Arabidopsis thaliana: one gene and its partner. The protein of the gene in region 1 interacts with the protein of each later gene in a pairwise test. Each region holds a gene or a part of one and is shown on either strand. Other genes may lie near its edges. The genes, in order: RLK902 and PIP2A.

The links.
Region 2: the proteins of RLK902 (region 1) and PIP2A come close enough for resonance energy transfer, tested with the Arabidopsis thaliana proteins (one study listed by BioGRID).

What each region holds. Positions count from the first base shown.
Region 1 is NC_003074.8:6,103,879-6,107,808, forward strand, and holds the start of RLK902 (receptor-like kinase 902), read left to right. Parts: upstream 1-2,029; 5' UTR 2,030-2,213; coding exon 2,214-3,564; intron 3,565-3,930. Other genes in the region: AT3G17830 (Molecular chaperone Hsp40/DnaJ family protein), read left to right, coding at 1-32, 117-187, 266-347, 445-625.
Region 2 is NC_003074.8:19,803,975-19,807,904, reverse strand, and holds the start of PIP2A (plasma membrane intrinsic protein 2A), read left to right. Parts: upstream 1-2,174; 5' UTR 2,175-2,450; coding exon 2,451-2,757; intron 2,758-3,225; coding exon 3,226-3,521; intron 3,522-3,648; coding exon 3,649-3,789; intron 3,790-3,879; coding exon 3,880-3,930. UniProt on the Arabidopsis thaliana protein: Water channel required to facilitate the transport of water across cell membrane. Probably involved in root water uptake. Its function is impaired by Hg(2+).

The DNA of each region.
Region 1 (3,930 bases):
GTAGTGAAAATTTCGATCCCCAAAAAACTGAGGTTTGTCTCACATCACTTCCCTTTTTTTTCCCTTTATGTCGTTATTCTATACTAAAAAACTGCTTGAAACATCGAATATGGTAGCGAGAGGGAGCGCAAGTTGGTAGAGGAATTCTCGTCGCTCAGAAGATCTAGTAGTAGTACTGGACCTACTGGTACAATGCTATCCCAATCTAATTGAAACTCATAATTTTCAATACACAATGTTAAAATCTTATAATCCCCACTTGTAGAAACTCGTCAAGAGGAGCAGAGTTTTGGCTCAGAGCCCAGAAAAGAACCATCTTTGTGGCATAAAATGAAGAATTTCATAAGGTAATCTCATAGAAACCTTTTTCTCAGTAGTTCATCAAAAGACACAACATTGTTGTCTTGGTCTGATACATAGTTTTTAATGTCACGTGTTATATAGACCAGAAGATTCAAGAACGAAATTTGGGACTATGAGCTTAAACCCATCATTACCATTACGAAGAATGAAAGTGTCAGAGACTTCAATTGCTTTTTCAGTCTTGGCTCTGTGCGTTATAACCTCGGCTGTTGCATTGGTACAGAAGAAGGGTAATCGCTTGAAACAAAAGAAAGAAACTTAATTTCGTCAAAAACCCTGAAACCCCACAGGTAGAAGTTTAATTTCAAGTAACAGAGAGCTTTTTACAAGATTTAAAAGGCCCTCGGTCATACAATTCTAGTTTCTAGAGATTGTTTGTCACGCAGAAGAGATATGATCTTGTATGTATGTTTTATCATTTATATATGGTTAAGAGCCTAGTTGTGATATACAACGAAAGGAATGTTATTACTTGAACAAATGTTTATGTATGCTAGACCAGCTTAAACCGTGACAGAACTATGCTTTGAACTCAATTCAGTCCTCTTATTTACTTTGTTTGTCCCTCTCTCATTAGAGGAACCTTTTTAGGCAATCAAGAAAAGGTTTCCCATAATCCCATATCTATTAGTATAGTCTTTTATTGCTTAGTGGGTCTCAACACACAGCTACTATACTTAGTATTTACATTATGATGACTAACGTCTTTATCTTCCAAAGTAAAACAATAGTAAAGCCAGCTAGATAGTTAAAAACACAACTCAATAGTATACCTTTTGTTAAATGGCTTAAAAACAACTCAATATTCCAACTACCAAACTGTTTATCCACATGTGCGATCGAAAATAGATCCATTAAATTACTACACTTCATATAGTTTTACTCTTTTCTTCTAAAATGTAACGCCCAACCACATATCAATGTAACCGTCGTGAATCTTTTTTCATCTTTTATTGTAAATTATCCAAAATATGAATCACAATAATATTACCTTTGTGGACCATGAAATAATTTATTCGATGGATAGAAAAATTGGTAAGATAGTAAGATTAATGGGACCCTTTAGATTGATGCCGTTGATATGCAGAGAGTGGAGACAATAAAAAAACAGAGAATGCGTTACTTGTAAATAAAAGAGCCTACTTTGAATGCTGTTAAATTATTGTTGTTGGCTTTTTTACATGTTTATGGTCCTACCTTTCTCTGCATACCCATGTTCATTTTTTTCTTTTCTTTTACAACCATGCATTATCATACTACTATAGTAAGAAAAAATCAATTTTATTATTAAAGAAGCAAAACAAAAAAAAATACATAGAATTAAGTGTTATCTTGAGAAGAGTGATTCCACTTTACTCAGATGCAGGGAATTTCATAATCAAAACCTTTGTATTCCATTTCTCCATAAACACACACACCCACTTGCTAATTTTCTTGTTAATCCGATTGATTATTAAACTCTAAGTTTTTGTAATCCAGTTAATAATCTTTAGCAGTTGGAATTTAGATAAGACAACACAGCTTAGTGGTACGAATGATTCACATAAGATTCTATAATATCAATAAGTTAAAACATAAAAACCAATAATAGAAATTAAAAAAAAAAAAATACAAATATTTTTGTCGAAGCATATAAAGACATACGTCACTGTTGTATAGAAATTGTCGTTTTTGTCACATTTAGATTTTAATTTGAAAAAATTTCAAAACTCGAAAAAAACAAAAAGTGGAGAAAAAGAGAAAGAGAGAGTGTTAAGAGTGTTGACTAGCTTCACTCTTTCTCTGTAAACCACACACACAGCTTCTTCACTGAGAGCTTTTTTCTAGGGTTTCTCTCTTTGTTTCTTACAATGCGACTCTTCTTCACACCGTCAATGTCCAATCTCTCCATATTCTTCTCGATTCTTCTCCTTTCTCTTCCTCTTCCGTCAATCGGAGATCTCGCCGCCGACAAATCCGCTCTTCTCTCTTTTCGTTCCGCCGTCGGTGGTCGTACATTACTCTGGGACGTCAAGCAAACCTCACCATGCAACTGGACCGGCGTCTTATGCGACGGTGGTCGTGTTACTGCTCTTCGTCTTCCCGGTGAAACGCTCTCCGGTCATATACCGGAGGGTATTTTTGGTAATTTAACTCAGCTCCGGACGCTTAGTCTCCGTCTCAATGGTCTTACTGGTTCTCTTCCTTTGGATCTCGGAAGCTGCTCCGATCTTCGGCGTTTGTACCTGCAGGGTAACAGATTCTCCGGTGAGATTCCGGAGGTTTTGTTTAGTCTTAGTAACCTTGTTAGGTTGAATCTAGCTGAGAATGAATTTAGTGGAGAGATCTCGTCAGGGTTTAAAAACCTTACTAGGCTTAAGACTCTGTACCTGGAGAATAACAAGCTCTCTGGCTCTCTTTTAGACTTGGATTTGTCTTTGGATCAGTTCAACGTTTCTAATAACTTGTTGAACGGATCTATACCTAAGAGTTTGCAGAAGTTTGATTCTGATTCGTTTGTGGGAACTTCTCTCTGCGGCAAACCGCTTGTTGTCTGCTCTAATGAGGGAACTGTGCCAAGCCAGCCAATTTCTGTTGGCAATATTCCCGGAACTGTTGAAGGAAGTGAGGAGAAGAAGAAAAGGAAGAAGCTTTCTGGTGGAGCTATAGCTGGAATAGTGATTGGATGTGTGGTTGGTTTGTCCCTGATTGTTATGATTTTGATGGTTCTCTTTAGGAAAAAGGGGAACGAGAGAACAAGGGCCATTGACCTTGCAACCATCAAGCACCATGAAGTTGAAATTCCTGGCGAGAAAGCGGCCGTGGAAGCACCGGAGAATAGGAGCTATGTAAATGAGTACTCTCCGTCTGCAGTGAAAGCTGTGGAAGTGAACAGTTCAGGGATGAAGAAGTTAGTGTTTTTTGGGAATGCGACAAAGGTCTTCGATCTTGAGGATCTGTTGAGAGCTTCAGCGGAGGTTCTGGGGAAAGGAACGTTCGGGACAGCTTATAAAGCGGTGCTTGACGCGGTGACATTGGTGGCTGTGAAGAGACTGAAGGATGTAACGATGGCGGACAGAGAGTTTAAGGAGAAGATTGAGGTTGTTGGGGCGATGGATCATGAGAACTTGGTGCCCTTGAGAGCGTACTATTACAGTGGAGACGAGAAGCTGCTTGTCTATGACTTCATGCCTATGGGAAGCTTATCAGCTCTCTTACACGGTGAGAACTACCCCTCTCTTTCTTTCTCAGCGAAAAATTTGATTTTTATTGTTAATAGTTCTCTGCTGAATCTTAAGTTTGGCATAATTAGTAATGGATTCGTTAATATACATTACTGTTAAGAAAGAAATGACAAAGATTCTATCATGAAATGATTAGTTTGGTACTGCATCACATTGACAAGGATCAGTGAAGAGTTTTTATCATTCACATGGCTTACACAGGACGTCTATGAATTAGTGGGGACAGTAGATAACCTTGGATTCCTTGACTAGCTGTGATAATTGATCTTTTAGAATTGTATTTTGAACAAAGAAAAATCCAGACCTCCTGTGTTCTACTTTCAGACAGTAGTTTTTTTTGTGT
Region 2 (3,930 bases), about 14 Mb from region 1:
ATCGGAAATTACAATATAGAAATTTTTGATCTGTAAATATCATGTAAAGTATATATCCAATTGATTATCATTTGAATGCATATTAAATTATTAATTATGAAGACAGATAAATCAATATATGTTTGTTGATCTTGCTGTAGTACATTCTGGACTAATTCTTTCAATTGGAGTGACTAAAAAGGACAAAATTTATGCATAACGACGTCATACTATATGTAACTCGATTTGTCTAGAATATTTAGATAAGGTTAAGACTAGTTTTCTATGAATAGAAGAAAGTGTAAAATATATAAATAAACATACTAATAACAATTAACAACAGAACCAGAACCAGAAAATTCACATTTCTGTGCTTTTATTATCTAAAATTCACTTCGAAAAACATGAGAAAAAAGAGTTGGCTGACGTGGAATATTCGTCTAATAGTAGCCGACCAACGTAGCCAAAACGATAAGGTTTGCCACATGGCAAAACGATAACCATGGAACTGCATCTCCTGTCTTTTGTTTGGTTGTCACAATTTGTCATTTTTATTGGGATTTATTGTTTTGTTATATTTTCGTTTTCAGTCTAATTGTCAGCAATTTTCGCAAAAGATATGAAATTTTGGATATGAAGAGAAAATGCAAATGATTGGTGGGGACAACAAACGTGGCATTATGTGAGTGGTTGAGCGAACAAACGGCTATATGCTGAGATGGATTGGACGGTGACGATACGTTTGTCGGAGGGATCGGGTCGGTTAGTCACGCGCGCCACCCATTCACGTGTCACCTTTTGCCAACACAGACCATATGATTTTAACCTCAGTGGAATCTCGACCCACCCCACAAAACGGCACCATAACTTTACACCCTGGTTTTAGAGAGTGATATACCAACACAACAATTATGAAAAAGGGTTCGTTTAGGCTTTGGTTACTTTATGTTAGTAATATCAACTTAAATGCTAATTTGAGTTATGTGTGATAAGATATACGACGAATCAATTTACTTATCGTCAATTAAGTTTGAAATGAAAGTTTGTGAACGAAATAGTTTATGCTTCTTTAATATTGTGTCATAATTTTGAGTTCCGGCTCTAACATCTTCAAGTAGGGTTTTGTTTTATGACACCTCAAACATACTTAATAACATATGTTGGTGATAGAAAACTAGACCTTCTAGACTACAAAAATGTTTATAATGTAAGAGAATGACCATATATCTATCTATTTTGAAAACAAAGTGTTTTGACTTTGGTGAACAAGAAAAATGTTCTCTATATATACAATGAGACACTCGAATATAACCATGCATGATTAGTTGGATTTGGAGTGAAGAAACTTAGCCATGCTTCGTTGGAGCAAAATAAGGTTTTGGAGTTTTGTTATGTGTTTTCAAGAATGTAAATGCTGATTCGATAAAAAAAAAAAGTGGACGTAAGTTATTTTAAAATGATTTGGCATACAAAAACTGTGGCTTTTTAAATCTGAAAAATCGACAGGCTATGATATTATACGACAAAAAGAAGAGAGCACCATATTGATGATATAGTATATTGGGTCGGTCCTAAAGAAAATGACATTTAGGTGATGGGGGCGGCGAGGCTAAGTTAAAGTAAACAAAAAAAACCTCCATTATTTACCAGAAAAACATATAAAAATTTGATTGACATAAAAACTAATAAATTATTTCAAAGTTGTGGTTCTGATAGCTCTCCACCATCACCACTGATTGATACTTCCTATTGCTACGAGAGATAAAACTATGCAAGTTTATATGAGTGGATATAAAGTCTTGTTTTATGATATCATAAGCTAGCTAATCCCATATCATTATCATGTATTTATAGACGCATGTTCAATAGATTTGGATCAATCTTTTTGTCATGGACTTGGTGCAAACTATAACGTTAAATAGAATAAACTATTCTAATTTAGGATCTAAAATAAACTCGAATCAAATTTTAAAGAAATTTACTGGCTAACTTATTTGAATTTTTCAAATTTCAACGATTGAAAAACTCTAAGTCTGAAATTAAACTAGGGTTCTTGTCTTTACGTATTAGTAACTATGTATGATATTGATATATCAAGCAATCATTAAATAGAATTGGTTCAAAATTTATTTCAGGACAGCTAGTTCATAATCATTTTGTCAAAGCTACTTCCCTCATAATAATAATAATCATAACTCACTCGTATACTTTTATATCCAATTTTTTCATTGAAAATACAAACTTTCATTCCAAAAAAAAACCTCAATACACAAAAAACCAAAAAAACATATAACGTTGGCAAAAATACTAAAAATATTTTTTAAAAGATAAAGCAATAAAAAAGTATACAAACAAATTAACAAGAAGGAGAGCTCTCACTATAAAACAGAGCACATGTTCTTCTCACTAACCACTCCAACAGAGAAGCAAAAGAAAAAAAAGCTATTGTTTGAAAGAAGAAGAAGTTAACTATGGCAAAGGATGTGGAAGCCGTTCCCGGAGAAGGATTTCAGACAAGAGACTATCAAGATCCGCCACCAGCTCCGTTTATTGATGGAGCGGAGCTAAAGAAGTGGTCTTTCTACAGAGCAGTTATCGCAGAGTTCGTAGCCACTCTCCTCTTCTTATACATCACCGTTTTGACAGTCATCGGTTACAAGATTCAGTCCGATACTGATGCCGGTGGCGTAGATTGCGGCGGAGTTGGAATCCTCGGTATCGCTTGGGCCTTTGGTGGTATGATCTTCATCCTCGTCTACTGCACCGCCGGTATCTCTGGTATGATCCTTCTTTAATCTTGATTTTGGTTTGGTTTAGATTAAGATTATACACTTTTTGAGTATTAGAATTACAATTAAACCGAATAAGCTGAATAAGTTTTACTTATGTAAGTACAACTTGCAAACTCAAAATTTAGACAAGTAAAAATTATATGGTATGGTTTTGGTTTGTTTATTCGAAATTAATTATTTTGCAAGGAAAAATATTGCTTGGTTGACATTACTATTTAATCGGTTTAAAATCTTAGGTTTAAAAGACGAAAATGATTTGTTTATAAAACATTTAATAAGGGTCATGATCAAATCGGTTCTTATCCGAATGATATATATCTAATCTAAGCCTAGTAATTATTTTAAGCAACTGACTAACCCTGTCTTAACCAGAATTGAAACCGGTTAATTAATTGCTTGTTGTACCTTAATTCTCAAGTACTGGTAACATTGTCAACTCTTTTTGTTTCCTTAGGTGGTCACATTAACCCAGCGGTGACATTTGGGCTATTCTTGGCACGTAAAGTGTCGTTACCTAGGGCCCTATTGTACATAATCGCTCAGTGTTTGGGTGCGATTTGTGGAGTTGGTTTTGTCAAAGCCTTCCAAAGCTCTTACTACACCCGTTACGGAGGTGGAGCCAACTCTCTAGCCGATGGCTACAGCACAGGGACCGGTCTAGCCGCAGAGATCATTGGTACTTTCGTTCTTGTCTACACCGTCTTCTCTGCCACTGACCCCAAACGTAGTGCCAGAGACTCCCACGTTCCGGTGAGTCACATATGTAGTGCTATTAATCTTCAATATGGTTAACCGACTCAAAACCGGAACCAAAGCAAACCAAACCAACATTTGATTTCAATCATACTAATAAATTTGAATTTTGATGAAATAAAAGGTGTTGGCGCCACTTCCAATCGGATTTGCCGTGTTCATGGTACATTTGGCTACCATTCCCATTACCGGAACCGGAATTAACCCGGCAAGGAGTTTCGGAGCTGCCGTAATCTACAACAAGAGCAAGCCATGGGATGACCACGTAAGACCTCAACGTTTCTCCATTACATTCAACTATATTTTTCATTTTTACAAGGGAATAATGTTTTGAAATTTTGGTGATTACAAACAGTGGATATTTTGGGTTGGACCATTCATTGGAGCTGCGATAGCTGCATTCTAC